Lepisosteus oculatus: one gene and its partner. The protein of the gene in region 1 interacts with the protein of each later gene in a pairwise test. Links are inferred from orthologs where the notes say so. Each region holds a gene or a part of one and is shown in the gene's direction. Other genes may lie near its edges. The genes, in order: kinesin-1 heavy chain and cAMP-dependent protein kinase type II-beta regulatory subunit.

Region 1 (16,395 bases):
CTACAAGAACACTCTGAACGGAGTACGTTTATCATTTGTGATAGCCTGGGGAAGCTAGTTTAGCTGGTGTTCTTATTCATGCATGTAGATGTGGATCAGGGTATTATAAGAATTAAAGTTTAGTCATTCAAATTAACTGATGATACAGAGCTAAGGGGGCATGCTATCGGGTCAAATAAGGAAGATTAGGTAGGATACAGAAGCAGGCAGATGAAAATCCATGCGAAGTTTTACATATGGATCACGATTCGTACCTTCTACCGTAAGCGCCCTGGCATTCCCACGCATGCTAAATTCCACACAGGCTCATCCAGGAGCTAATCATCCAGCCACGTCTCACCCCCCAGTATTTAGACACTCTTCAGCGGCTTACTTATGCTCACCATTGAGAAGTTTTCCACAGCTCTCTCTTGTGTGCGCTACTATTCTCGACCTGACTCCTTTCACTCCTTTCACTACCTGACCCGGTTCTCCTACTTTTGACTTGGCTCTTGCCTAACGACTTGGATTTGAAGTCTTGGATTTACTTTGCTCGAACTCCCTCCCTCACGGCTTCACACAGGGGTCCAACTGCACTTACAGTTCTGCCAGAAATCCTGGCAGAACTGTAAGAGCAGCACAGAATTGTGGACTGTATGATGATGCACGGTGGGAAGAACTGGGAGCTGTGTATACTAGAGCTATCAACATGTAGGCCAGTGGTTCCCAGTCCTGGCCCTGGAGACTCTGGTGACACCCCCGTTGGTTTTCATTCCATCCTGCCTTCATTACATAATTGAAGCCCTACCTGATCTAAGACTTTGCTTTATTGTTATATTGGCATTTTTTTTTGCACGTCACACGTCTGTGTTTTTATTTCACTTACAAAATACAACAGTTAAAGCTCCGTCATGTCCAAGAGCCGGGAAGAAACAATTCAAATTAATCTGATTATTAAGTCAGTGAAGGGTTTGATTGTGTAACTGAGGGCTCAGCTGGGACAAAACCCTATAGGTATGTGGGTGACCAAGACCAGGACTGGGAATCACTGGTCTAGCCAATGCACAGGAGTGATAGAAATGGCAAAGAGAAAGCTTGGAAATAAAACTGCACACAAGTCTGGTTTCCACATTACAGAAAGAACAAATATACTGTAGCACTTTAGAGGAAGTCCAAAACAGAGCAGCAGCACTCATTTCAGACCTTAAAGGGGTAAGGTATGAGACGAGATTTGTGGTACTTTACCTTTTTAATGTTAGGAAAAGACTAAGAGCAAGAGATGTTTAAATACTTGACCGGAAAATAGAAATACATGTATTATTATAAACATTTAACAGCTGCTAATATTGAACAAATTCTGTACCGCCTCTAACCATTTCATGGTTCAACTGTGAATATGGCGAAATGGAGCACTCTCAAAAGGTTTCCAGTGAACTTGGAAAACAAGCATAGAGGAAGTGTAACCGAAATCTTGTAGAAAAGCTTGGATAAATAAAATACGTTTAAAACACCATTTTGTTTGCTGCTGTAAGCCTGCCCTTTTATTCTTCTCTGTCCAGAAATGGTAATAACTGCAGCATACCGTCATTATGACAAACCACAGTTTATAAAAATAGCCCTGTTCTTTAGCCCATAGTGATTCTGCACCAAAGTACAGCAGCTCCCGTGTGCAGAATGAAACAGCCTGGTGAGCTGAGTGCAGTGACATCCTGGAACCTGTTAAACTGGATTGCCACGACAGAGTGGCTCTGAAAGACACTTTTGAACTGATCCTCTTTTTGTTTTTGCATCCACGCAGGTGTGGTTTCAGGATTGTGGCCAGTGGCACAGTCTTTTCATAGTTTCATGTACTTTGAAATCCAATAGTGGCTTCAAGAAACAATGTCAAATACAGATGCATTTTGATGTGAATCCCAGCCCGCGAGTTCCCAGAAGCACCACGCTCTCAGGTTTTCAATAATGAATGCAAATAAATGACTGGAAAACCACCGTCTTTGTGCAAGTCTTTGTGAAGGCTGACATTTTCCTTTCTGTTAAATTCATTTGGATGTTGTTCCATTCCTGTGGTCAAAAAATATCTGGCACAATGGAAAGTGTATTATCTTCAAGCCCTGTCGATGCCCTTTCTGTAGGAACATGCATTTATAGGTTCTAATGCACTCTTATTGTGTCCAGGTACTGCACACTGAAGAGCCCCATTCCTGGGGAATGCGCTCGTGTTTAGAGTAGAACACAAAATTAGGAGGGAAAGCTGAGTCAGGTCTCTGGTGGCCATCTACAGCAGCCAATTAAAGCGCCAAAATGACAAAATATTGCTAATTTCCATTTCTCTTGGCACAGTGTGAGGAAAACATCCCTTCCAGACTACCCATTACCATATCTTAAAATGTAGTCTCCTAACACTATAGCACTTCAAGGTAGAACATTCATTTTATTTTTTTCCTTAAGCCCCAAATTATTTTATAGCAATTTCTGTTGGAAAAACTTCTTTGTTTTCTTTAGCTTTACTAGCCATGGCTGTGCAATGTAGCTCTGTAATCTATTTTTATTTTTTCTATTCACATTTTATTTATTATGCCTGCCACTTACTTACATCTTTCATATTATGTTCATTTATTTTAAAATCTCTTTTTACCAGGTCGGGTGGTTCGGAATTGCTGTTGCTGCCCTTCAACCCCCAAAATTACAGCAAACGAAATTAATATTTCAATTAGCAGCCATATTACCCTGCAACTCTGGCACAACTGGCAACCCACTGAAGCTCAGCAGGTGTGAGCCTGGCCAGTACCTGGATGGGAGACCACCTGGGAAAGCTGAGGATGATGCTGGAAATGGGGCCAGCAGGGGTGCTCACCCTGTGGTCTTGGTGGTTCCTAATGCCCCAGTATAGTGACGTGGACACTGTACTATAAAAAAGGGGTGCTGTCCTTTGGATGAGACTTAAAACCAAGGTCCTGGCTCTGTGGTCCTTAAAAATCCCAGGGCATTTCTTGAAAAGAGTACGAGCGTAACCCTGGCATCCTGGCCAAATTTCCCATTGGCCCTTACAATCATGGCATCCTAATAATCCCCATCTATGAAATGGCTTCATCACTCTGTTCTCCTCCCCACTGATAGCTGATCTGTGGTGAGCGTACTGGTGCAGTATGGCTGCTGTCACATCATACACGTGGTAGTGGAGGGCAATCCCCATTACCTGTAAAGCACTTTGAGAGGATTGTCTAGAAAAGTGCTATATAAGTGTAAGCAATTATTCTTCTTATTAATTATTACTATTTTCAAATAATCCAAAGGAATGTCTTGTCCAGGGTGACCAGCCTCTCATGAGAACATATAGTATTTAATTTTTCATTACATTTGCAAATGACAGGAGGCCAATCAGCCCAAGGACCTTGTTTTGTAGACAGCAGCTGATTGGTCCTAAGACCTCATCCATCCGTTCCTTAAAAGAAATCATGGCATCACCTCCAGCTACTTGGCTGAGCCCCACAACCCTCTACATAAAGAAGTGACTCCCTTTCTCAATTTAAATGCACTTCACTCTAGAAAACATCACCGTCTACTACTATTTTTAAGGAAATAAAAACATTAAACTGTTGCTAAGTTGTCTCTTAAATCGAAGAACCATTTTTTAAATCATGTCATGCTGTCATGCCATGATTTTCAGGCAATAGCAACGTTCAGAGTGAAAGGCTGTCTCATTTTCCATAATCACTTTATATTCTATGAACAGTAGCTAAGAGCTAAGTGTTTTTTCCCATGTTCATGTGGGTTTCCTCTGGGTGCTCCAGTTTCCACAGTCCAAGGACAAACATGTAGATTAATTGGCTTCAGGAAAAATTGGCCTTAGATGAGTTTGCAAATAAATGTGTGTGCCTTGCGCCTATTACCTGTCGAAATAAGCTCTGGATCCCTGCAACTCTGAATTCTCATTTTAAATGCACTTTAGTTTCCCTGGCTCATGTTTACTGTTGATATCCGTTACAAGACAGAAGAAGTTCAGCGTACACATGAAACCTGTTTTATTTCACCATATCATTATTTCGTTTTTGTTTGAACCATCCTCGGTCCATGTAGGGCTGTCCTCTGTCCTCTGTCCTCTGTCATCCTCCTGTTCAAATAGTGTGAATGAAAACATCGCTGGAGGGATACCCTGCCCGTCCTACCCATCTTCTGAAAACATCACAGCAAAATCACTGCTCTAAAAATAAGCAAACACTGAGATAGCTGGCTATGACACTGACTGACACTGAGATTACATCTGAATGCCATCAGTATGAAAAAAGTATGAAACTCCTTTTTTGTGCAACTCCCATACATTCATATAGCAGTGATTTCAGTCCTGTGCTGGACTGGACTGTGTGTGTGCCCTGTGTTGGACTGGACAGTGTGTGTGCCCTGTGCTGGACTGGACTGTGTGTGTGCTCTGTGTTGGACTGGACAGTGTGTGTGCCCTTTGCTGGACTGGACTGTGTGTGTGTGCTGTGCTGGACTGGACTGTGTGTGTGCCTTGTGCTGGATTGGACTGTGTGTGTCCCCTGTGTTGCACAGAACTGTGTATGTGTGCTGTGCTGGACTGGACTGTGTGTGTGCCCTGTGTTGCACAGAACTGTGTATGTGTGCTGTGCTGGACTGGACTGTGTGTGTGCTCCGTGTTGGACTGGACAGTGTGAGTGCGGTGTGCTGGACTGGACCATTCGTGCTCTGTGCTGGACTGGACAGCGTGTACATTGTGCTGGACTGGACAGAATCTTGTGAGGTTGTTTATATCTTTCCAACTACATAAATCACTGAGGAACGATCTTTACCTGTTATAACATGTATGAAGTGATATAATTTCTAAATTGTATAGAAATGCTTTATATTCAATTTTTTTTTGCTCATTACATTAAAATACAGTAGTATGTAATCCTCTGTAACAAAATCCTTTGTATCCCATTAAAAACCTTGAAAGAGATGGGCCTGCTGGATTTTGCATTTTGCCATTTTAAATGATCTAATATTTTCATTCTTCTCTATATCCACATCCTTCTACATACCTTAATCTTAAAAAATCAAATGTGACAATCTGAAGTGTAATTAATGTCACGTAGCTGATAAAGCTTTGAGTATTGTAACACTTCGGGGTTCACATGGGCGCCCTCACTGCTGCCACATCAGGTCAGCCCCCCACCATCAGGGACTTGAACCCAAGCCTCCAGTGTCACTCAACAGGGACCCAGCCTCTTGAGCCAAAGGGAGATCTCCCTTCAGCCCAGCGGCTGCAGTCCCTGCTATACACAGGGAAGGGTGGTGACGTCACTGCGCTGGTAAGCCGGCTCTCACAAGCAATGGAGGCCGTATGCGTTACAATATAAACTATTTGTTGTTATCTAATGTTGGATGTTATCTTTTGTTGGATGGTAGCTTCTTGCTGAAAAAGGCCAGCAGCAGTGTGGAGGCTCAGTCATGCGTTGTGTATTTCTGTGCGTACAGTAAAAGGTGTAGTGAGCTGAAACTGCTCAAACTTCATCTTTGGCAGAGATAATAGATCGTTGTTTCCCTGGGGACAGGGATTTGAATCCTGAATACCAACTCTTGTGATTTGCATTAGCATTCCTGCATCTTGGCATCTGTTCTGTGAGCACATGGCTGGGATATTTTTATGCAGTCCAGTGAAGATGCTTCTCTGCACCAACTGGCCATATACTGTCTCGAAGAGAGAACTGCTAAACATATTTTAATGGGGAAAAAATCCAAGAAGTTCACTATGTGCTTCATTTCAAAATATTCTAAAGCCTTTAATTTATAATTCAGTCATCTGCTCCTATTTAACTTTATTGTCATTGATATACAACTACTCACAAGAGAACCCAACTTTAGGAGTACATACATAGGACAAGAGGTATTTTTAACAATTGGAAACAGGATCTTTCCCTCTCCGGAATATTTTTTGACACTTATTAAAGAATCACAAGGAACTAAATGTTTAGTAAAAATAATTATATTTATATAACATGAGGATCATATTGAGTGATGACATCTGAGCTTTAATGTTGTAAATATGAATGAATTCAAACAGGAGATCTCTTATAAATCAAATCCAAATCTTGGTCAATTTCATTTTCATATTTCCATATAATCTATTTCTTTTTCATTGGTGTGTCATACTTACATTTAGGATATATTTACTGATGATTCAATCTGTTAAAAGAACTATTTATCTTATCATGTGAAGCACTTGTTTTATTTCATTTTACGTCTTTCAGACACATTACGTATTTTTAACTTATGCTTATTCAAAAACATTTCAGATGTTTCAGCAGCTAACATCTTATTTTCTTAGAACACCTAGCACACTTCGTGCTACTGTATGTGCCTTTTGGTTTCTAGAGGTCCAACTAGAGAAACACAAGCAAAGATTATCATCAGAAAACCTTCAATGCCAGTTAAGAGCAGAAGGACATTAAAAATATTACAAATGGACATGTGGTCCAACAATGTTTAGTTATCCTAGTTTTATGTGCGCAAGAATCCCATAATCCCAATAAAAAATAAAAGAAAGAAATAAAAACAAACAATAACATACAAGATCATACAGATAGGTCAATTGGACATAGGCCCTAGTAAACACTTGAGTTTTAGGTTTGGATTTGAAGAACTTCAATAACACTGAAGCAGCCACCGAAGAAACTAAGAAATTCAGTGCTGGGTATAGTGAGCAAAAGACCAGCCTCAACTGAATAGAGCCTACGAGAGGGAGTGTAAACATGGAGGAGCTGAGAAATGTATGAAGAAGCCAGATTATTTAAACCTTTAAAGTCAGTAACAAGCTCTTATATTGAATATGTAATTGTATAGGCAACTGTAGAGAATGATATGCTGCCAACAGAAGAGTGTTAGGGGTACTTTCTAGCAAATTATCAGGTAATGCACTTTATAATTGTAAAACTCTACATTTTAACCACATACCCTTTGTAAACCTATTTTCTTCCATCACACTACCTAAGAAAGAGAAGAGATAAACCAAACTCAAAGATATTTCTCACAGATTGCTAGTTCCAGTTCAGTACCAACAAAAGGTATTTGAAACATACTGTACTTTCCTGAATATTATACTTAATCTGTTGCATTTTGGGGGTATTTGTGCCAACCTGAAAAGCATCTAAATCGTCTTGTATTTCTTTTGCCTTACGGAACTACTGTTGTGTCTCCATTGAGCTTTGTGAGGTTTGCAAAACTCACAAGTTTACTGATTGTAGCAGTCTCTTGCTAGGAATTTAGACGAATAGCGGTTGTATCATAGCGGATTCCAGTGACAACGATGCACAATAGTAAATTAACGACACCGAGCGCTTAATGAATTGCCTTCAGTAAGCAGCCAGACGCACTACATGTGCGTGAGTTGCGGCAACAACTTGAAGCAGGAACTCGCCTGTTGGTGTTGAGCGCACAGGCACTGGGATTAAAAATTGGTGCCAAGACAGAAAAGGAGAGGGCGGGGGACTGGCGCTTAAAAAAGCACGTGCCATCACTGTCCTTGGTTTTACATTTTAGGAATCAACGGCTGCGGTTCAATTATCCTAACCATATGCTCAAGTGACATCATTGTCTCTGCTTCTGTCTGACCAGCTGTTCAACCCCGGAACCTCCCTCTGTGAACCCGTAGGCTGCGAATGGGGACACACGAAGTCGGACGTAGGTGGGGCATCTCGTACTTGTGGTGCAAAAAAAAGCACCTGCATCATTCTTGCACTTTTTATGAAGCTGTCTGAAGTATGCAAAAAAAGAATACCCCCTGTCAATATGTATACACGATAAATGCGCGAGTTGAAAAAAAATATTTATAATGCAAAAGAAGAAATCAATATGTTTGCGTTTCATTTGCTTATGTACGTCCGGTAGGAAAATTCGGTTCTCTGGCAACACAGGTATGACTTGGCGGCGCTGCCCTCAAATCCGTAACCGCCAATCTAGCTGTAAGCCCTGGGCTGGGCCGGTCTATCCGTCTCCGGTTGGGGAGGGTGTTGATAATATCGGAGTTATCTGCAGAGGTGACGTCACCAGCCGCCCGAGAGCAGCAGACAGAAGGAGAGAGAGAGAGATCTGCCGGTGTCATGGCTGCCATATTGGAGAGGAAGTGATTCCTATCCGCCTAAGAAAAGGGGGCATTTATTACCGAGAAACCGACTGGGGGCATCGTTTCTTCGGCACTCGGTGAAGGGTTTAGGGGTGCGGCCTCCGGTTTTCTACCCTTGGGCCGTCCCGGCAGCAGGATCTGATTGTTATTATTGTCAGTTTCATCCCAGAAAGATTGGAAGATGGCGGACCCGGCGGAGTGCACCATAAAAGTGATGTGCCGATTCAGGCCGCTGAACAATTCCGAAGTGATGAGAGGGGACAAATACATCCCCAAATTTCAAGGGGAGGACAACGTTGTTATTGGGGTAAGTTGGGAGCAGAAAAGAATTTTCTTTTCTGCGATCAGGGTGGCATCGGAAGAGGCTGATGTTTTAATACAATGAGGGTTAAAAGCCAAGGGCAGTGTCTGTGCTGTCCACCCACAGATTGACACATGAGCAGCAGCCGACTGAAACTTTAGCTAATAACTGCGGCTTCATTAAAATGCATACTTACTTTTGAATTGTTTTATGCACGGAGACCCTTAACGCTTCGTTTAATCGTCTTTTGAATTCTGATATTTTTTTTCCTTGGCCACTGTTGAAGTGCGCTAGACGCCAGTTATTTGAAAATAAACGATGTAGCGGCCCGATCTCCTAAAGGGAATCGTGCTTCGTTGTGTTTTGAGGCCGGTGGCAGATCGCTGGAAGGGCTGGGTCAGACAATAAGACTGGCCTAATCGTGCCCTTTTCCACGGCGCACACAACAAAGCCAGAAGTGTTGTCCACAGCTGTAACTACGTGGCCGGCACTAGGCATTTCCCAAACCTAAAAGCGTGAACTGCTTTTGCATCGTCTCTATTGGTGTATTCGGCGTCAAAGTGTTCTGTTTCGGCAATGCGGGGGTTTCAGTTGGTTGAAGCTGCTGGACCCGGAGGCCTTCACTCGCGTCGGCCCCTCTCTGGCGTCTCAAAACAAAGCGGTATCTTTTGGGGGAGCGAGAGCAGGGATTTGACAAGCGGCGCTCAGTTGTTATTGCCTGCGTGGATATCCTACGTCTGGGTCTTGGACACAATAGGTGTGCCCGATGGATTAGGCCAATTCGGTCGGGGGGCCCTTTTATTAGGGCATAAAATTCTCCCCCACAGCCAAATAATACAGTGCTCGGGGGGGTTAGAAAATGTTTTCCAGACTGTTCGTCTCCGTGGATGCACGAATGAATGAAGTCACCAGTGAACGCATCAGCTGCTGCTTGGCTAACGCCTAAATTCCACGTTGCCCTTTGCACTCATCGCACCACATCTCCCAAGTGAACTCGGAAAAAGTACTGGGGAGGGAGTCTTTGAACCCGTAAGACTGGAGAGAGTGCGGTCGCGCTGTCACTTGACAGGTGTCAGGCTGGCGTGCGCCGGCCGAGGGGCTCCTGTTTGTTGTGCGGTGGGTGAGGGGGCCCGTGAAAGACAATGGCGCCCCACTGAGCTACCGCAGCTGAGAGCACGAATTCGCCAACGACCGCTACAGATTTGAAGCACAGTCATTCTTGAAGTGCAGGCGCCGATCTTGAAATCGAAAGTTTTTTTTTTTTGCTGCTTTGTGTGCAGAAAAACTTGGCCCCTGCGAAGCGTGTCCTGAAATAGCTGCCCTGCTCAAAGATTTTTCAGTATCCCGGCATCAGCGGAATTCACATGGGGTGATTTTTTTGTCTTCCCAATTACATGGTGCTGACGATCACTGATAACAAGTCCAGCCTTTTGAGGCAACATTCATCAAAATACCAGTTCCTCAGATGTCACGGAGTGATATTCGTGCCTGCTTGCAATTTGTCTTTTTGAAAAACATTCTGCAAAGGCACACATAGGACATGGGCAGTACAGATTGGTCAAATGTAACTGCTGAAGTTATTCATAATATCCATTTGTAAAATACAATAGAGCTCTTTCCACATTCCTCATTGTCCTCTCTGATTTAGCTTTATCACTCTGTGGGACTTCACAGGGATAGAATTGTGGTTTCTGTAGTACACACTGCCTAATGAGTCTTTTGTCAGGACGTGTAACTCAGTATCATGAATATGCACTAGGAAATGTATTTGATCTGTCTTGTGACCTTTTGTAAAGAGGCTCTTGCTCAAAGAGTCAATATTTGTTTGGAAGAAAATAAAGCTTATGAAGAACTACAAGTAGGCACATACAGTATAGAGCTAGACAGTCGTTTTAAGTCAGGGGAACCATCCTGACCTTTGTAGAAAAGCAGCCAGCTTGCTACCCCGAAGGATCTTGTTAATTGAGAATGCATACATGCTCATAATATGGTCTGTGTATTATTTGCTGGCTACTGGATATGCATCTTATTTCTCTGAAAAATTTGGAATTTGGGTTGAAAAGAGCAAGAACGTTTTCCCTTCTCCAGGCTAAAATTCTGTTCTATAACAAGGTTGATTATTGTGGAAGAAAATACACTTCAGCTTTTAAAGCTATCCGTTTTACTGTATGGGGGGATTAAGAATGTTAGAAGGGTCATATAAAACAGGAAGGAAAGTCCACTGGGCCTGTCATTCACTTAGTAGTAGTAGCTGATCCCAAAATTGTGCATCTGCTTGAAGTATACTTGCTTAAGCAGTGGAGTGCATGGTGGTATTTTGGTTAGCAATGCTGCCTCGTATACAGTATTCCAGGTTTCTATGGCTACATTATATGTATAATCAACATTTTTGCTTATGGGGTACGCCTTCATCGTCCAGTCTGTGGTTCGAATGTCAAGTTGTTGAGAAGCTTAGGGAAGCACATACAAAGATCAAGGCCCTTCACAAACAGCACAGTCAATACCGTTGTCTAAACTAAAGGAATGTATGAACTGTTGCACTCTAACCATTGTAACGTTTTAGCATATAACACTGTTTGGACTATAGTCCAATATTCTGTATCAACAAAGTTATAAATGTTAAGTGTTTTACTTAAGATGCAGTGCCATTCCCCATTATCGCTTATGGGTTAAAGCCCTTTTTTGTTTATTGCAAAAAATAGTTGCACAGTATAACTATAATATAACTATTGCATGTGCATGTATTGAGTATGTATTTATTTTTCCATGTAGTTTTCATTAAAAGGATATAAGATTCCGATGGCAAATGAGGCCTCAGGAAAGTCGAGCTAAGCTGTACTGCAAGAATCTCTAACTGAAGTGCTCCAGGACGACTGTCTATTGTACAAGATCCCCTAAATATATTATTTTTTCATTATTAGGAGCTTTTGAACCATATGGCACTAAGCTTGTATCGGTTTGTCAAGTAATTCTGGATGTTGAGTGCTGAGCTGATGCATATTCTTATTTTTGTTCTAAATCATGTGTAAATTGCTTACTTTAATAAAGCCCCTGTGTAACTAGTTGGAGTAAAAATTTCCAGTTTTCAGTTTTTTTATAGTTTAGTTTTTAGTGTTTACTTATATAATAACAATAATTCCTTACACTTATATAGCACTTTTCTGGACACTCCACTCAAAGTGCTTTACAGGTAATGGGGATCCCCCTCCTCCACCACCTATATGATGCGACGGCAGCCATAGTGTGTCAGAACGCTCACCACACATCAGCTATCAGTGAGGAGGAGAGCAGAGTAATGAAGCCAGTTCATAGAGGGGGATTATTAGGAGACCATGATTGGTAATGGCCAGGGGGAAATATGGCCAGGATGCCGGGGTAACACCCCTGTTTCTTTTCAAGAAATGCCCTGGGATTGTTAAGGACTACAGATGGTCAGAACCTCAGTTTTACATCTCACCCGAAGGACGGTGCCCTTTTATAGTATTGTATCCCCGTCACTATATTGGGGCATCAGGACCCACACGGACAAAACATGCAATGGATTTGGGCATTCCAGAACCACGGTTGGAGACCCCCCAAGTTTACAGAAGTCACATGCAGCAGGTCAAGTTATGATGGATAGCATGTCCAGAAATATTAGGGTGCCCTTGTCTGCGTTTGCTTTTGATTGTAGCCTGGGGTGGATGTGTTTCGGCCAGTCTGACTTGACAGGGCAACAGACCTGAGGTTTTGAACTGTATCCGTTGACAGCTGAGTAATGCACGTGGAAATGAATGAATCCTTCCCATGCTCTGTTTAAAAGAGCTTCTGAAATATTTATGACAAGGTCAGTAATTTTCAGGAGATAACTGATTAATGTTCCATTTAGTTCAGCAGAGGAGAGGGTGTGATTTATATCAGTATGCGTTAGTAAGCTGGAAGGATAAGGAAACATCAGAGGGCTGTGGGTAGTGGTAACTATCGGATAACTCCATTTTGTTTGCCCAGCCTGCCGTTCTATGGAAAGAAATAATCTTCATAATCAGTGTTTTCTCTTCACAGCAGTGCAGAAAGTTAGGTTAAAATGCACGGGAGGCACTTAATTGGCACTCTTGTTGAATTAGTTTGCATGTCGTTTGTTAGGTACGATAAGAAGAGTTGTCATTTTTGCTGTGTAGTTTTTTGTTTACTTTGGCTTCATTAGCTTTTCTGATAACCATCAACATTCGGCTCTTAAAGTAAGGGAAAAAGAATCAAAACGGGCCGAAGTTGAGAAGTTCAAGGCGCCACCCTTGCACTACAAATGGAGGAAATGTTTTAGTGCAGTTAGTGCCGTTGATGGTGTTTTGCTCAGGTGGTGACATCTTGTTACAGTCCGGGCAAATCAACATGGCGATATGTTTATGGTTTCAAAGGTTTCCCTTTGGCTCTTTAACCCCTTCTAAGGTGTCTAAACCAGCAGCAGAACAGAAGAAGCAGTCGTACTTGAATAAAAAAGAAACGGTTCATAAAGGCAGTGTAGCGGGCTTCCGGGTAGAGGTGCCTGCCCAAGCCCTGGCAGGTGGCTGGTGGCACAGGTTGTGAGGGGTGTTTGCGTTTTAGCTGGTTTAGCGGCTAGAGATTCACACTCCAGTCGAGCGATCTGGCTGTCGGATGTCAGACCTCCGAGCCCTGCAGTGGGTGTTCACGGTGATTAACCATTTTTGTAACTGGCCACTCCCCGGGCTTGAATGCAGAAGAGCTTTTGTTGTCCTCAGGTTTACCAGAACGGGTTTTGTTGGAAAGGAACAGTCCTTGCTTATGTCCCCAAGTACAGCCCTCTGCACACAAGCTTGAAGACCGGGAAGCTGGAGCTTGCGGCTGCTTATGTAATTGTTTTCCTGCGTTTGTACAATTACAGCAAGGCTAGAACATGCCACCCTAGAAATTCTTCACAGTGCCTCTTTATTTACTGTCTACATGCGTAAAGGCTTACCTGTATAAAAAAGCATACAGTTGTTTTGTTTTGGAATTGAAGATCTAAAATATCTTCCAGGTCTTTGCGGGTCCTGTTCATTTCAGCACTCTTCAGCTGCAAAAAGCTGAGTTTTAATTCACCGTCACTTTTAGTCAATTTATGAGAATTCATATTGAAATACTGTTTATTCAACAATTGGTAAGACTACTGGAATGATAAATGGGTACCTAATTGTGATATCAATATTATATTATCATGCAATTGGGATATGAACACCCTTTAAAAAAGGAGGTCTTTATATCTTTGGGAAAATTGTGCATCTTGCAGGCTCCTGTGTCTGCTGATCTGCTATGGGTGGTCCAGTGGTCATTCAGACATACGACCGTCAAATGAAGAGTGAAGCCATTTTTCCTTATTTCTCTCATTAAATCCGGCAGCGCCAGTACAGCAGTGTATGTGAAATCTTTGTCCCTCAGATGTGCAGTGCTGTGGTAGGGCTTCCTTTTTGTTGACGCAGGTTTGAGTAGCTGTTAGCCTCGTTTTAATAATGCACCCATGGGCCCCAGAGCCCTGCAACGGTTGTGCAGTAATCGCTTAATGCTTCTCCTGGCAACACATATCTGACTAAAATGAGCTCCACCAACGAGATTTAAATGGTATTCGGCCTGGGGCTGGGGCTTGTGTGGGGCTGGTAATCTGGCCCTTCGGCCAGGCCTCCTGATGCCTCTCTTCAGCAGTTAGGCCTCAGTGCCGTGTTAATCTTTACTGAGCAGGTTATTCTCTTTCCAGTCTAGTGTGATTTGTGCATCTGTATCGTTACAAAATACCTTGGCTTCTCTACCGAGACTGTTCTGTGGTTGAAACCTCGAGGTCGCTTGGATATCGTCTAAACAAATGTAAGGACTTCTGCACTCCTCTGATGTCCGTAATGCTGAGTGCAGAAAGAGAGTAATTGCTTGTGATTGAAGTCAAGAATTATGCCCAGGTCTGACCTGGTTGATTGGTGTCTGCTACAAAGCTGTGGCTTTAAGAGGACTCAACTTTAAAAACACCGCTTGAGTATTTGAGTACAGTTTATTATTCTTCACCTGGTTGGCAGAAGATGCAACTCTTCTCTCCTTAATTACGCATGTGGTTCACCAGGGTAAATGTTAGGTCTTGGTAATCCCGGTCTTTCGTTAATATTCGGCTGCGTCACGCAGTGCTGTACAGGCGAATATCATGTACCAAAAGATGTCTGTAACTAATAATTCCCAAAAAAATCAGGTAATGAGGCCCACTGTGAGCAGGAGGGAGTGCACCCGTTTCTAACCATTGTAGTGTAAAAGAAGTGGCTGTGCTGAAGACATGAATAGAAGTGTGAAATTAATCAAAACCCAAAGCTTCAGAGGAGATCAGACTGTTTTTACAAATCAATAGCTAGAAGAGTCTTTTGATGTCCAATGTACAGTGTCAAGGACTGCCTGAAAAAAAGAGAGGTCTCTCAATTCTTTTTGTTCACTGGCTGCCTTAGCAACTGTACTTTAATCTATTTTAGAATTTGCTCGTAATGTACTCGCTTCATAACAAGGTCATCTTTGAAAATTGTACAATGCCAAAGAGTCTTCTTGGTTAAAGCAAAGCAGAAAGCATGAGTGCTGATAAGCCATGGCTGTATTGACCAAAGACATGGCTTTCTCTCCCATAATTGACAGTTTTCACCTTTATCATCTATTTGTTTTGAGATTTACATGTTCTGTAAGTCAGCCCAAGGCAATTCAGCTGATATGATACAAACAAGCATGTGATCCATTCAAAATACAAAATCTTTATTTTTCTTTATTAAAACTTGAGGGTCACATTTAATTACCCAACCCACTTGGGACCTGAGGCTGGTGACTATTCCGAGTTCAGTTAAACGGCTATTTTGACTGAAGTCGTATATTATACAGCGTCTTGCACAGGGGATTCTGAAGAGCTTCACGCCGATTGTTGCTTAAGTATTTTAAAAATATGGAATAATGGATCTTTATGTTTGAGTTGTTACACTTGAATAAAGGAAACCTCGAATGTGTAACATTAACTAGTCAGAGATCAAACATGAATTTAATCTTTCAGGGCAAGAGAAGTGGTTTGTTTCAGTGCTGTCTGGTTATGCAGTTTTACGAAGTGAATATAGTGGAGATGTTCAGCTTTTCCACAAAGCATTTGTTTGACATATTGGTTTCTACACAACACAAGCAGTGTGCTTGACAAGGCTGAGATTACCTGCAACTGCTGCCTTATGGCCGGTTTGCAGGCGGTTGTAAAAATGTAAGCAAGTGCAAGCAGTTTGTTGTATTGTGGACAGAAGTAGCAGAATTTCTAGCCAAGAATAAAACGTAAGTGTGAGTTTGTTTATTGGAGGTTTTCAATGCAAGTATGCAATTGATTAACTGAACTATTTGTAGTTTTAGACTTTGAATTTCTGTCTTGTATTTTAGATTTTAGGAAATTCTCTAGAGCATCTTAACTTGTCAGTTTTTATACAAACATAAGCTAGGTATTGTTAACAAAACTACTGTACAATTTAACAAACTATTATACTAAAAGCACTTAACCATTCCTTATCCTGTTTTTCAGGTTCAGGATGCAGTGTTTATATGCCAATGTGTGTTTTCATAGGCTTCAGTCTAAATGATTTCTGTCTGCAAGTGAAGTTTTGAATGGATTAGTCCCTAGAAATAATTGTTAAAAAGCTTCTGGAAACATTCCCCGTGGTGTTAATCAAGCTTAAATAAGTAGGATTGTTGGGAGCTGCCTCCCCATAAAGAACTGGAAAATACTCAAACAATGGTTTAGTTAATATCTTAAAAGCGTAATTTTCATGTTCCAGTCGTAACACTGAAATTTGTCGGTGCTGATGCAACTGAACAATACTCTCAAGAGTTCTAGTAACGAGTAACGTGGAAGATTTTGTTTTCTTGTTTGCAGAAAAGGATTTCGTTTGTGAGTCTCCAGCTCCTCGTATTCATTGTCCAGTCACCTCTACCTTGAGCAGTGTTAGGGCTCGGAGGTTGGCACGGTCAAGAGTCTCTTCTT
Region 2 (16,193 bases), on another chromosome or scaffold:
AAGTTATATCTACTGTAGTGTCTGTCTGTGTTGAGGATTGCTTTTCCTATAGACAATTTCTTACCAATTATCTTATTTCTTTATTATGTTTGTTTTTCTTGTTCATTAGTATTCCACCATAAAGGAAATCAGAATTTCCTAAAATACCCAGGACAGCTCTATAGTAATGTTCAGATTATTTAGCCAGAATCTTGTTTCCAAGACAGATCAGAAGAAAGTCTTCCTTCTCCTCTCTGTGTCTTCTCCTATGTTCTCTTTCCCTACATCTTTTACACTTCTATCTCTGATTTATATTGTGTCTATGGCTGTTGAATGTTTATAATTTATTAAGGTTGAGAAGAGCAAACTACTAGAAACCCCCTTTGATGTTCTTTGTTTGTTGGCCTCTTAGCCCGCCTGCAGCTGGGCAGAAATCTCAAATGAAACCCATTGTTTTAAGTTTTCTAAATAAAGCCTAGAGTAGTGCAGTCAGAATGCTATAGACTTTATGGTAACTAATTGGATTGTAAGAATATGAAAAAGAATATTTGCTATGTTGAATAATATTCATCCATTAATCCATATTCTAACTGCTTCATCCAAATTCAGATTCAAGGGTAAGCCAGAACCTATCCTGGACAGGAATGGGCATATGGCGGGCTACACCCTGGATGGGACACTAGTCAATGACAGGTTAGACACAGACAGATACACACTCACACCAGAAATCAATTAACCTACCAGCACTACCAGCATGATTTTGGACTGTGGGAGGAAACCAAACACCCATAAGAAACCCACACAAGCACTTGGAGAACATAAAAACCGATAAGCCTTTGAAGAGTGTAGCATATTACTGCATTTTGGATCAATAATCAGAATCGCAATTGTAAAACCCTGGACACTGAGCTCTGCAACACTGATGTTTTCAAAAACAATTGCTAACAAGCTGTTAATGTTGGAGACAAGATTTCTGTGGTTGTTATGGTAATTTTTAATGATGTGAGAGAAGAAGGTGGATCTAGCAGACTCTATTGAAACCTTATATTCAGACACGTAATCTCTCCAAGCCCGATAATGTACATTTAGCCCAGAAAGATTCCACCTACGCTCAAGTTTGTGAGAGACTGTCTTCATAGATCGCAGATGGTTGTTATACCAAGGGGCAGGGCGAGAGAAGGAGATGGTTCGAGTTTTTAGAGGACCAAAGGTGTCAAGGGTAAATAAAAGAGCACTGTCAAGTAACTGTATTTTGTCGTCTAGGGGGTCAGAGGAAGAGAAACAAGATAAGGAGGACAGAACAGAATTTGCATACCTTGGCTGATCAACTGATCGCCAGTTGCAGAAATTTACAGAGTGTGAGGGGGAAGTGTTAGAAACAGGTAATTCCAGATTGAAGAGAACAGCTAAGTGTTCAGAGAGGCATAGTTCAAGGGAAGAGCAGTGGGAGATATTTGAGTCATTTGCAATGATTAAATCTAGGGTGTGTCCTTTGTTATGTGTAGGGTTACAAACTGAGTAAGATCAAAACATACCAGTAGAGAAAGGAAGTCTTTAGCCAGACTGGAAGACCTTGAGTCAATGTGTATATTAAAGTCCCCTAGAATAAAGATCCTTTTAAACTTAAGGCATAAAAATGAGAGGAAATCAGCAAACTCACCTAAGAAGGCTTCACTTTGTTTAGGTGGTCTATAAACTGTGGAAATGATAGTAGATTGGGGGATAGAGACATTTAAAACAAAACACTCAAAAGAAGAGGGAAGAGGTATAGTAATAGGACTTAAATGGTAAAAAATGTTATAAATAACAATAATAATAATAATAATTGCTTACACTTATATTGTCACACCCTCTGCAGCCAGAGGGTGCTTCTTCTCTGTCCTGTCCCTAGTTTCCGGTCTGCTGTCCTTCCTGTCCCTCTCTTTCCCTTGGGCTATATATTTCCGGGTCTTGCACTCTGTCCTCGCTCAGCATTGACGTTCGGATGTCCTGAGACCCGCCCAGCATCAGGGCGCCCCACGTCCGCTCCCTGAGGGCATAGGTTTCTATACGGCATTCCTGAACTCTTCGCACTAATGAGCCCGGGCCTTTTTCCTGTCTCGCCGCTACACATATGGGTCTTTTTCCGCTCTCCTGCTCCCCACGGTTAGTCCCTTTGGACGTCCGTGACATATATAGCACTTTTCTGGACACTCCACTCAAAGCGCTTTATAGGCAATGTGGACTCCCCTCCACCACCACCAATGTGCACCACCTGGATGATGCGACGGCAGCCATAGTGCGCCAGAATGCTCACCACACATCAGCTATCAGTGGGGAGGAGAGCAGAGTAATGAAGCCAATTCATAGATGGGAATTATAAGGAGGCCATGATTGGTAAGAGCCAATGGGAAATTTGGCCAGGACGTCAGGGTTACACCTCTACTCTTTTTTTGAGAAACACCCTGGGATTTTTAATGACCACAGAGAGTCAGGACCTCGGTTTTACGTCTCATCCAAAGGAGAGTGCCTATTTACAGTATAGTGTTCCCATCACTATACTGGGGCATTAGGACCCATATGGACCACAGGGTGAACACCCCCAGCTGGCTCCACTTACACCTCTTCCAGCAGAAACCTTAGTTTTTCCCAGGAGGTCTCCCATCCAGGTACTGACCAGCCTCACACCTGCTGAGCTTCAGTGGGGCTGCCAGTTGTGAGTTGCAGAGTGATATGGCTGCTGACAATGATGCCCCCTTCTGCCTGAGAGTCACAATGTCACAAATCATGTCACAATTTGTGTGAATTCTATTATGTTGTGAGACCAGGAGTTTGCCAAAAGATGGAAACTTACAGTACTTTCACAAAGTTCACTATTTTGTGCTTAATTCAAATTTTGTTTTTCTATACCATCAATGAATTTATTTGTTAACAAGATTTAATAACCGGTCTGAGAAACTGGGACTGCAGTTCCCCTTTAACTGAAATAAAAACATATTTTCTGGTCTAATTTCTGTGTTTCTTTTGAATCTATTATTACACTGATTTCTGGGAACTGTACTTTGCCAGCTTTTAGGAACGTATAATGTCCAAGTGTAAGACTAAATTAAACCCAAATGTCCCTTCCCTAGGGGATAGGGGATAAGAGGAGAGATTGGAAAGCACCACAGAACAGCAGTGGAGTGAAAATTGCAGCATGTAAAGACCGAGAGGAGACAGGGACGGTAATCACACAGCTAAAAGAGAACTGAAGAGGAGAGGATTGTTCTGACCTCTAATGCCAAGCCATGATAGCCTAATCCACATAAACAATGGGCTGAGGCACACTGGCAGCTTGAAGCCTCAGAAGGCTCCGGAAGACTCTTTAATTTCAGGAGGCTAATCATGTCAGTATGATGAGGACCTGTATTTTCCAAACTGAATCCTAATGTGAATCTTTTATTGTCCCTACCTTTTTTCCGATCTATGGGAAAACCTTGGAACCAGTCCTAAGATGGTTGTGCTTGTGTCAAAGGGTGAAGAAAAATGGGAGAGGGACAACAAGTGTCAGGCACTGTGTTGACTTGAAGTTTAAGGAGGAGTGGTCAGTTTCTCCCTATGGACTGATGCATTTTCACCTTGTGCTTTCAGCGCCCTCCCACTGCTCATACACTTGGTAATTACCACACAGTTCAGAGGTGAAGTGTGGGATTGGGAGACACGTCTAACTTTGTCGCAGCCTGAGGTAGGGGGGGGGGGAGGGATATACAATGCATCATTACAGATGGACATCTGCATATAGCAAGCTGATCAATGTGTTCTGTGTCTCATGGCTCTTTGTGTTGGGTGGGCAGTGATAGAAATTGCTGTGTTGTGGGGATGTTTTTGTGTGATGAGTGCACCGTAATAAAAGAGGAAAATATGTAGAATGTTTGCGTTGTCTGGTCTGTGGGTACACTGGTGGTTCTGGGAAATAAAAAGAATCTGTTGCTGGAGAAAAGGGTCCTAGCTCCTTTTAAAATTGCAAGGTAAAAAGTGAAAGCAGTTCCTGCATTTAGAGGTCACCTTTCCATGACAATGTACAACAGGATTTGCAGCCTGTGTTGAAACAGTGGCTATTTAATGTCATAGTATATATAATATACTATTATACTGTTACAAGCTGATAGCTGGATATATTGGTAGTTGACAGTGGAAGTGTCTAAGAATCTAGAAAAAGTGTGTATCACCTGGCAGTGTAAACATTTCAGCTTCAAAGCAGAGGGGATGTTCGCTTAGATGTAGGGGGCCAGTGTCTGTGATCAAAGCGCATCATAAAGTTTACCTTAGTTATTGAAGTTCTGAGTAAATGACTAAGTGTCAATAAACAGTCTAGAAGACAGATCATATCAGATCAGAAGAAGGAAAAATAAGAAGGTCAGACATGAGAGAGGAGAAGAGGAGAGGGAACTTGAAGCTTGTGCCTTGCTAAGAGAGCTTGCTATTCTTTAGCTTTTAATGAATTTGGAGTTCCTGAGCAAAGAATCTCTCTGTTTAAAACTGCCTCTCCTGCTTGGTGCATTTTAAAATAGGGAAATAGGCTTTCGTTTATTCTGTGGCATCCAGGTTACAGATGGATTTAATTGTAGGTTGTATTCTATTTAGTTTAGAAGGCAGCTTATCTTTTCTTTAGCCTCTGTAGGCATTAAGAGTTGAATACTTTGTAACAGTCTGGAGTTTTCTGGGTGGTTTAGATGTAGGCCTTGTCTGTACATAATCTATATGTAAAGAAACTTCCTGCTCACTAGTCGCTGTATTGACTAATGTAATGTACGAGCAAATAAGTAACAGAAATGTTCCAACATGATCTCCATGCAGATTTAACAAGTAGCATTTGTTGGCAGAACCATCTCAAAATCGAGAGCAATATTCACAAACCTGCTTGTTTACACTATATACCTGCTTGTTTACAGTATGTATACAGTATATACCTGCTTGTATACATTATATATAATATATAGAACTGTTTCTTTTTGAATGGCCCAGATTTGGAAAGAGAGTCAATGGCTTCCTTGCCACAACACGAAAAGTCCACAAATTCTCCCCAATCTGGAGAACTTTTGTCTTACTGTCTGTCAGTCTTTAACTTATTTATTATGGTGCAGAAAATATTCATACTGAACCCTGGGAGATTTCTGGGGGTGCCAGACTGGACATATTTTATGTCTAAAGAAAACCTACGATCTCCCAGTGTTTTTCCATTTTTTTTTGTTTCTCAAAAAAATTGGATGACTGACTAATGTTTATTCTTCAAGGTCTCATCCCTAAATACGTTCTTTCTGCACATAAAATCAGTTTAATTCCAGTTCTTTATATATTATGTAGAGTTTTCATCTAGAAATGTAACACACTGGTTGATGCATGTTAAACATGTTATCCAATACAGATGTAGTTCACTCTCACAGGTGTACACATAGGAATGTGGCTGTGTTGATGTAGAAATGCTCTGAGATAGACTACCTTTGGTTTTATATGTGGTGGAACTATATAACCATTGGAACTACATAAAGGGGTCCTGCACTATTTTTACCCAGTGACGATTCCCATATGGCTGTCGGTCTCTATATACAACATCTGTTGGCAGGTTTTACTATAACCAAAAATGTATCTTGTGAATCTCCATTTAAATCTCTTATGGTTGCACTCTTTTCTAGATATTATTCTTATGTAGAGACAAGCATAGCCAAATTATGTTATTCAGCGCCAAGAATTGTTTCATCCTTGACAGAGATTTTTTAAAAGCACACAGTTTATTTGAGTGGTCACTTTCCTTTGTTTTTTCTTTTCCTTTTTCTCTGCATTTCAGTTGAGATCTTCCTTCTTTTCTGGTCAGTATTTCTGTTGATGTTGTTTTCAATAAAGATAATAATAATACCAACATTATTCTTACAATATCTGGAGCAAAGCTGATAATCTAGCTTCTTTCAAGAAACAGTTGGATGAAATCCTCAAATAAATTAACTATTATTGTAAACAACAACAACAACAATGGACATTGTCTCTTTTGTAATCTTTGCAATGTTATAATGTTCTTACATTCATATACCGAGATACATTAAAAACATAACACAAGCTACTGCTTCAAATCTGCATTTGTTGGATATTTAATACCACTTAGTATACAGTATATTGACAATTGTAACCTTTCCAATACGTGGAACTTTCCACATTCAATTGCTGACAGAGTGCTTTAAATACTGGAGGGGCCGTACTTTATCCACTGTTGAAGTTTAGCTCCCAACTAGTTGATGAGGGCATCCATTATGGTTCAGACACCCTGTACTACATTGCAGGTCAAGTGGGGGAGTGATAAATTGCTTACCAACTGAATTAAGTGGAAATTTAGGATGGGCAGATTATGCAAATCCACAGTGGAATTAAATCAGGACACCTGGGTTAACACTGCCATTGGAACGTTTAATGATCATGTAGCTAGAACCCTGGATTAATGCCTTGTCCAAAGGACATAATATTAGTTATGTAGTTAGTGCATCATACAAGTGCAGATTTAGATTTTCACCCACACTTCAAAACCTTCCCCACTGTCATTGTTTCACATCTTGATTTTAATTAAATGAGGTACTGCAGAGCCAGGACAACAAGGAAATGAATTTATGACAGAGCGATAATAACATGCAGAAAACAGTCATTTCAACTCCTGAGGGAGGCCATTCTAGAGCCTGCCGAGATCTCCCAGGTTTCCACTGATGAAAGTGGTGTTCGGCGTTGACTGGCCATCGGGATGCAGATCATATATTTTGCCTGAACCCAGAAATAGGTTTACAAGCTAAGACTGGGCAAGCTTTCACAGGGCCACCTTGGACAACTTATGTCTTTTTTTTTTAGGCAAGGCTAAAAAAACAGTGTGATTGCTTTTATAATGCAAGAGGCCTCACCCATAAAGGTACATCTTATCCACAGGCCCGTTGTTGGATAAGTTTCAGCTTATGGCCTCTAATCATTTGTGAATGAGGCATAAATTCTATTATCTCTACAGTTCAGCAAAAATACTTACTGCAAAAAAGCATGCTTTCTCAATGACATTTTTATACAGTAGGTAACATATAATCTACTGGTGTTTTAAGTATCACCAGCTTTTAAAGTGGTGCCATGATGTACTGTACATACATTCTCGTAGTGCAGTGTAACTCAGGATTCTGCAGAATATGAGGCTTTTTCATCTACTTCAGCCTCCCACGCCTTGTTGTTTCTGAATTTTTAATTTTGAGAATTTTTTTGCACTCTGATGGGAACTGCAAAAAAATTTGGAACATTTGGATTTTGGAACATGCAACATTTGAATGTTTTTAGAAATCATTCCCATAGACTTCGTTATTGTATTTTTCAATGTATCCATTTTTTCTGACAATGACCTCAATAGTGATTAAATATAAGTTGATTCATTTCTGGGCTCACAACTCATGAATTTATTGATTGGGGTTTATTGATGTCCTCACTGAAGATAGAGACTCAACTCATTTCTGGTTTCTTTTTTCTTTGCTGGTATATATAGAGTTCAATCTGGTAGTACCTAGGAATGCTGTTAGCTCTGATTTTGTTTTTTGCTCTTTTGTTTTCCACAAACAACAAATAAAACATAAGTAGTCTAAAAGCATAGTTTTCTTTTTTGAAGTGAGTTTCCTTTCCAGCTGAAGAGAGATTTGTAAAATAAAGACTTTGTACTGAAATACATAGAATCCTGTTTTGTTTACTCTTTTGGGAAACAATCTAATTAATAACAATGGAACAAACAACTAGAAATTAAACAATGATGACCTTAAGCTACCACTTAAGTGTGTGATCTGTTTTTTTTGTCTGTTTAAATATTTTAATATTAAAACGAAAATAAACAAATACAGTTCCATATAGACTTTTGACTCTTGCTTGGATCTCTTATAGTAGTTCACACCTTGTATGAAGTTAGCATTGCAGTACAGTTTTTCCTTTTAAAGATTTTGAAGACAGTTAACTCTAAACCTGCTACTCTTGGAAGTGCATATGGAAGTAACTATTTTTACACATCAGATCCTTCAGGTGATAAGTTTAATACTTTACATTGTCACAGATATTGCTGGAGGAAAACTACTCTCTTTCAGCAATGCCTCCTTGACTCGAACATCAAAACTGTAAAAGATGCTGATATTGTAAAGAAGCACTTGAAGGTAATCTGTGTGACCCCGCGTTGAAGCAGTGCAATGTACAGAAAGTTGTAGTCACTGAGCAGACTGATTATCACTTAACCTAGTTTTGACTAAATTTAGTCTAATAAAGGTCTTAATGGATATAAAACTGCATTTAGATATCCATTAAGATAGTTCCCCTGTGAAACAGAACGGGGAAACTTGACTGTTAGTTCTCACTGTTTTTATAGTGGGTTTTCAACGAAGACTTAAACAATGTAACATAATAATTCAAATTTAGGAGGGCTGGAATTTACAAAGGTAAAAAGAGCACACTTAAGAAGGCCAACAATCTGATAAAAAATAAATGTTTCTCAAACAGCAATTGTTTGTGAAGCTGAAATATTCAACCCATTTAAGGAAAAACACCATAATTAAATTACACAATTAAAAATCAAAACTTTATTTTCTATTAGTTAGCAGCCTTTTAAACAATATGGAAAACCAACAAGACGTTTCTAGATTTAGAACACTTAGTGTGTGTTAATCCTCTCTCTCTGAGTTGATGATGTGCCTCATCACACCATATACAAATCAAGTATATTTAAGTAAAGTTACTTATAAGTAACTTATTTTCAAAGTTGTAGCCTACTACTCTTTGGGATATTCAGTATACCTGTCTTTACGATTGTACCAATTGTGCTGAAAAAAACTTTGGAAATTACATGTTAAACTCTATAAACATCATTATAATAATTCCTTACACTGATATAGCGCTTTTCTGGACACTCCGTATCCTGCTTTACAGGTAATGGGGATCCTTCACCACCACCAATGTGCAGCCCCCACCTGAATGATGCAACGGCAGCTATAGTGCAGTACCACACACCAGCTATTAATGGGGAGATCAGAATGGTGAGGCCAATTCATAGATGGGAATTATTGGGAGGCCATGACTGGTAAAGGCCAATGGGAAATTTGGCCATTACACCAGGGGAATACTCCTACTCTTTTCGAGAAATGCCCTTATTACTATTGAATGTCCCCGTATGGGTTTCCCACTTATAGATAAGCTTTCCTAGCAGAAGCCCCCTCTCCCATTGTTGGTCTATTGTTGGGGTTGATCTATAATACATTGCAACTTTTTTGTAAAATGCAAGGGGAAAACGCAACACATGCAGAAATACCTGGGTTTTTTTTTTTTAAAAAAAAGAAAATTACGTCAAGTACACAGAACGTCCTGCTAAGTGGTAATAATAACCTGTCTGCTGTAGCCTACATTTTAGACGTGTATGTATTGGCGGTTCTAGCAAGCGCACAGCAGAAACTCCAGGCGGGAAAGCAAAACCGTTTGAACTCCGGCATCACCCGGTTCAAAATCTAAGACACGTGCCTAACGGCCCCTTCGACGAGCACAGCAGAAACGGTAACGTAGTACTGTTTAACTCCTGCATCCTTGTTCAATTTAAACTGCGTTATACGATAGAGAACTTCTGTTTTTCAATATATATACTTAAAAGATTCACCAACAAGTATCCTGCAACACGGGCTGCGAATCGTCGAAAAAGGTGACGCTTATCAGATGCATTTTTTTTTTCGGTAGATGGTGTTTTGGGGGCTTTTTTGTAACGTTGAATGACCTTAAAAAGCAAACCATTGAAACCACAATGAAAACATTTTCCTTTCTCAAAATAGGCAACATGCGGTCGGTTTTTCGAGTTATGTACTGTAGTTTAAAACTATTCTTTCTCCGCAGTTCAATTCACCAATGAGAAACCTACAGTTACACCTTACTCCCGACAGTGTAAAGCGTTCACCTGGAGGCATTAAAAACAACTGCGTACACGGCTAGGGTCGCAAAATGGCACGTTGCACATGAACGTGCGCTCTCAGGCGCGAAATGGATGCTACTTAAAATGAACTTTGCCATCGTGGCACGCATAAATAGACACCAGCGGCACACGGTGCCGGTCTACACCAGGTATTCCCGAAGCTCCTCAGTCACTGCAGTTTCGCAGCGGCTCTCGCACGCAATCCCTGGATGGGTGGTTGCCATGGTTTCTCGGGTCACATGCATGGGCTTCCTGTAGCCAGCCAGCCAGCGGCATAGATGCTACAAATTTCACTGCCATTTTCATTCAGCAGGCGGTAGAGGAGGAAGGTCTGTGTTGAAAGCACTGGGACTCGTGTGCTGCAGACAAAACCCCTGTCAGCTGCACTGCACATTTTGGATTGATCTGTTTTCGGAAACTTTTCTCCCGTTTCCTCAAATTTTATCACTCAGGAGCCGAGCTTTAAAAACCAACAACTAGGGTGATCGAATTCCTGTGATACTATTTTGCACTTATTTCTCCAGAGATTGATTATAGGAATGAGTATAGAAATCCCTGCAGGGCTGACGGAGCTGTTGCAGAGCTTTACAGTGGAGGTCTTGAGGAATCAGCCGGGAGATCTGCTCGAGTTTGCCCTGCAGTATTTCACCCAGCTGAAGGAAAGTCAGAGTACAGGGGAGGCACTGGGCCATGAGCAAAACTCATCTTATAGACCCGGGAAGGGAGTCAACTTTATTGAAGAACCCATGCAAACGGATTCGGAAAATGGAGAGGAGGATGATGAAGACGACGAGGAATTCGTAGGTAACACACGTTATTGTTATTATGACTTTTATTGCCCGGACCAGGGATTACGATTCTCGTCTTTATTTTAAGCAAATGTCGGTAGTTTGAGAACCCTGCAGTGTAAACGTGCTTCGAAATACTAATAAAATACCGATCCCGCACGAACAAATCCCACCCCCCCAAAGCGCAGTGAAGGATACTTATATTTTTTTTCCCTGAAATAAATTAACTCTTTCTAAGATCGATTTAATGTACGCGTTATAAATAGAATAATAGACCCAGCCAGCAGACGAATGCTCATGAAATGGTCATTTTTTGGCGTTAGCCGTCTATCTCGATATACAGTACGTGTAGCAGCAGCATATTTTGACAGTATCGCTGAGAAAATAGTACACAAGCACCTTTCTGAAAGGTAAACGCCAGATTCTCTCCTTGACAGCACCTTAGCGCAAATAGCTGACGAGGCACCGCGCAGGGCCTCAGACGACAGCTTGGATAATATTAATAACACCCCTCGCAACAAAGCCTGATGTGCACATTATACAGCGCACCTCTACACTATGTGTACTTACAGTTTGTGTGTGGTGTGCACTATAGTGAGATACCTGTTCCATGTAACTTGTGGGGAGATACTTTAAAAGGGCCCGTTATGTAATTTTCTCACGCTTGGAACGTTAAACACGTAATTCATGATGTACAGGTTTCGTAAACATTTGTTTCTGTTGTTTAAAAATATGGAGACGCTCTGAACAGTGTGCTAAAGCTGCCGGCCTTGCATATTTTTTTTTATAGTCCCCAAAAGAAAGATCTTACCTTGATGTCCAGTTGGCCGTCTGTTGTACTTTCCAGCTGGAGGCTATCGTGCACATTCTACAGTACATTGGATTTGCTCTGTGTGAAGATGGAGTTTAAATTGTGGGGACTACTCCTGGTATGCTTTATGAATCTCAGTGCAGTCTGTAAACATAAATAAGGCCTGTTTCAGTAAGGATGATTCTGACTTTACGTCACAGACATACAGTATTGTGCTTTGGGGAAAAAAAAACCATGATGACTAAGGAAGCATTTTGTTCTAGATTTTGAATTATAGAATTCAGACTCTTTTTTCTTTATTCTGTTTTTGAAATTCTCAAGGCTTGTTTTATAAAATCCCATTTCATTAAAAAAAATACAATAGTTCAGGTTGATATTTTGCCATGTACTGTGATAGTGTTGCTTATGCAGGGGAGATGCAGTCTGAAATCACTTTCTGAAATTGCCCTCCATCGTGAATGAGAGATAATTGTGAAGTTGTTTTCCTTAAATAATGTGTGACTGACTTAATGTCATGATCACTTACCTAGATCGTGGAGGGTTTGAGTTGACCTTATTGGTACAGTAAGGGTTTAAGATGGTCTACACTAAACTTTAAAAAGAAGATGAGTTATTTGCTATGGCTGGATTTACACACATGTGAAACAGCCATGTGAAATGACAGTGAGGTACAGGACTAACAGCTGTATTGACATCATCAGGAAATTCCCACTTAAGCCCTTTTCGTGTTAAATTTTCAGTCCAGAATATTGCTTCAAAATTAAATGCCGTTTGTGTGCATCTGTTTAATTGGGATTGATTAGACCTCTGTGATCGCGCTTTGCAGTCATATGCAGAATATGCAGTTCCAAGAAATGTCAGGCTATTTTCATGAGCAGTACAGTGTTTAGTGTTTAGCAATTGTAATTACTTTGAAGGACTGTGGTAGATATGCAGCTAGTTGAAAAAGTGAATAATTTTCATCTATTTTAAAGATACAAGAACTACGTCTTATGCTATGTGAACAAATCACAAAACATGAATAAAAAATAAGTTTTCCCCTATTTGTGACATAACTTACTCTCTATTTCATCAGAAGGTTTCTGGGTTAAGCCTTTGCAAGTTAGTTCAGTGAAGCATACCAGAGCCTACTATCAGAACTATCTAAAATGTTTAATGTGAAAAAAGGCATTCAGCATTTTTAGTTCTTAATATTAATTCAAGAAGTTAATTTAACAAAGGTTATACTAGAAATAGTTTTTATTTAGTTCACACAAAGTTATCATACAGTAGCAGACAATTGGTCTTTCCTACTCCGTTTTTCTCTTCTGAATTTTGTGAAGAATATTATATAGTTATGTATGTTTTCTAATAAAAAAAATTAAGTCACAATCACAGAATCAGAAAATGTGATTTTGTAGTGACATTGACAGGAAAGGCAGCTGTGATGAACAGCTGTTGTCTTGTATTTTCAGTACTATAGTTATCAAATAAAGTGGAAAGGGTTTATTATTATTTATTATTAATGCACAATGTAATACCTGAACACAAAAATATATACCTGTTGTATAACACAAAGCCAATATTGAAAGCATGTAATTAAAAGAACGTTCCTTGCAACTGTTACTGTAGCTGTAGTAGTATGAGTAGTCTTTGTGATTTCACTTGTGTAAGACTTACCTTCTGTGGTAGACACAAATGTCTAAGATTTTTTGCTTAAACATTTTTTCTTCTGAATCTTTGTATCTTTATATTAAAGAAGTGTTCACCCCCAAGGCTTCAATTTTTTGGATACATTTTATTAACTAAGAAAAAATGAAAGCTTGATCCATGTATTAACAGAAAACCACCTTTTGGAATGGAATCAGCCTGTTTCTACTCAATAAACATATTCTGATAGAATGTGAATTTTCTGCTATGCCCATTGCTTATTAGGATAGGTTCTGGGTCCCTGTGACCCTTATTGGATAAAGCAGTTAGAAAATGCATGGAAAAGTGTGCATCTCTTTATTTCTCCAAAGTGGAAAGCAAATATGCGTTTTAATTATTAGGATAGTACTAAAACCTTTGTAAAATCATCTAAAACGGACACTGCAAGAAAGGCTAGGTGTTATGATGTAATCATTTAAATAGCTTCTCTGCCCAGTTGCCCTTTTAGACCTTTCCTTCAGAGATGTTGTACACAACAGAAATTTGAGAATTTTGAGGCCTTAGCCAATCAGTTCACAATCCAAAATATATGATAATTTTACACAGATAAGAGGATTTATGTTTATTATATCCCTGATACGCTCTGAGCCATACAGACAGAAGAGATTGCTCTTTTATTGTGCTTCGGTTTTGAAATCCTCAGAACCCCAAAACAGTTATGCAACTTCTTCAGTCTTAGGCTGAGAATGTGATCTTAGTGTTTAATTGTTTTTATTTTGAAAACGAGATATAAGACTGAAGTGGATTCAGAATGTAAAATAGTCAGCTGTCCTAATCTTCAAATATGACCCACTCGTATTTTTATATTGAGCTGTTATTTTACTTGAGTCTTAAGTGCACACGTTGGCTTAGTTGACCCTTTTATTCTTTCATTCTTACCACACTTATTAAATATCAAAGCCTTTATTCATGGGGAGAATACTTTTGGAAACTTTATTTTGATTGATCAACAAAAGCCTGCAGCAGTTATTTCATGTTATTTCTAATGGTGTACCGTTTTGGTTAAGTAAAGTCTATATTATGTTTGATTTATTTATGTGCAAAATATTTTTTTAACTTCAGGTAGGTGTAGTAAAATCAATACATGAACAATAAAAAAACTTTCAAAGATACAGTGTGATTGCTAAATTGGTTATTAACAACTTTGTCTTATAATCTAGCAGTATTCCTCTCCACTAATATATAAAACAATAGGCTAACAAACAGAAAATGGTGCAAAACGTTTGGGTTATTTTTGAAATATGCTGTATCTTTTTCAGGAAGTTTTATATTTCCGCAAGGTCTGGTTTGGTATTAGATGAATCCAGCATACAGTGTCCTGCAGGGGAAAAGTAAAATAAGTCAAACCGTAGACATATCAATCTGAATATGTTATACATTAAATTGAAAGTAGCTATTCCATTTTTAATTTATTTATGTAAAGCGCATCTCCAGGCTTTAGCTGTTCTCTTTTTAAAGGTTTGCCTAGTTACCATAAAATCACTTGCTTTCCAAATGTATGGTTTGGAAAAGCATGTCCCCCACAGTGTTAGTGAAATCTAAAGAGATTAGATAGAAACTGCTTACACTGTAGATGATGAAATATACAAAGTGTACAAAATACATGTCCAGGTTTTGACATGCAATAATGTTAATTAGTTGGCAGATTTAATTTTGGTTTTAGTAAACTTGAATGAACTTTGAAAGTAATGGACCCTAAGAAATATCTAATGTACTACAATTAGTAATACTGTCCAGATTGTGGTGACGCTGATCACACACATAAATGTGAGAAAACATTTGTGGATCCTTTGAATCACCTGTTTTCCTGCAGTATTTACTTCTAAAATGTGATCTGATCTTCATTTTTGTTATAACAATAGATAAACACTCTTATTAAACAACACATAAACAAGTGTACCTTTTCACGTCTATATTGAACACATTGTTTAAATGTTCACTTTCTGTGATGAAAATGTATTTGAGCCTTTAGATTTAGTAACTGGTGGAACCTCCTTTAGCAACAATGACCTCAACCAAATGATTCCTGTAACTTCTGATCAGTCCTGTTCGTTGGTGTGAGGGCATTTTGGCCAATTCCTATTTACAGAACTGTTTCTGTAAACATTTTAAAGGAACTGCTTCCATGAAATTAATTGTGATATCTTAGCAGAGAGGAAATATTATTGAAGAAATGGAAAGACCTTTAGTTTTGTGAATAGAAGATCAAACACAAAGACAACATGCCTCTAAGCTTCTCAAATATTGAGTAATCAAATATTATATTCATTGTTTGATTGTGTGTAATCATTTTTCCTATCAGAAAAAAAATAATGTGTGATAATGATGCATTATGATAATACAATATATACATATATTGTAATTTTACATATGAATATACACCATTCATACATAATTTACACCGTGCAAATCTTTCAAGAAAATGTCTTTTATTTGAAAAGTACCTGTGATTTTCGTCATTTCAGTCAAATAATTAGTAAACAAAAGAGCTTTTTATTCTGATGGCTGCAATTTTTTAGAAATACACTGACAACTTTCTGTAAATTAAAAATTAGAAGTGGTTTCGGTTTCATTTTTTATAATTGATAGCAAACATCCATTTTTTTTCAGCCCCAGTTATCAACAGATTCGTAAGAAGAGCTTCAGGTAAGTCAACATTCATTTTGTGTCTGTTGTAATATTTTCTAAAAAACATTTAACTTGCTTCACATTTGAAATGGTGAAATAATATCATATTTCTGCTATATTATGAAGAATGATACATTTCTGTATGTAATTGACTGAAGTTCTCTTGTTATTTAATTTTGTATGTTTCATGTCCTACTTTGTAAATTCTAATTGATTCAGCTTGGGTTCCTATTTATCATGATGCAAACTATATGCTGTAAAATCTAAAAATGTAAAAGATAAGATGATTCTGGAAATCTTTAGTGAAGCTATTTACTATCTTTACAAAAGCTCAAATGACCAATGGGAA

The links.
Region 2: the proteins of kinesin-1 heavy chain (region 1) and cAMP-dependent protein kinase type II-beta regulatory subunit interact in binary tests that used the Homo sapiens proteins (3 or more experiments, as listed by UniProt). The two-hybrid records come from large-scale screens. The link is inferred for Lepisosteus oculatus from reciprocal best matches to the Homo sapiens genes KIF5B and PRKAR2B.

The regions. Positions count from the first base shown.
Region 1 is NC_090701.1:39,346,546-39,362,940, forward strand, and holds the start of kinesin-1 heavy chain, read left to right. Parts: upstream 1-8,040; 5' UTR 8,041-8,279; coding exon 8,280-8,405; intron 8,406-16,395. UniProt on the Homo sapiens protein: Microtubule-dependent motor required for normal distribution of mitochondria and lysosomes. Can induce formation of neurite-like membrane protrusions in non-neuronal cells in a ZFYVE27-dependent manner.
Region 2 is NC_090702.1:39,638,783-39,654,975, forward strand, and holds the start of cAMP-dependent protein kinase type II-beta regulatory subunit, read left to right. Parts: upstream 1-9,423; 5' UTR 9,424-9,522; intron 9,523-9,528; exon of another isoform or gene 9,529-9,664; intron 9,665-9,749; exon of another isoform or gene 9,750-10,452; 5' UTR 10,453-10,467; coding exon 10,468-10,732; intron 10,733-15,826; coding exon 15,827-15,862; intron 15,863-16,193. UniProt on the Homo sapiens protein: Regulatory subunit of the cAMP-dependent protein kinases involved in cAMP signaling in cells. Type II regulatory chains mediate membrane association by binding to anchoring proteins, including the MAP2 kinase.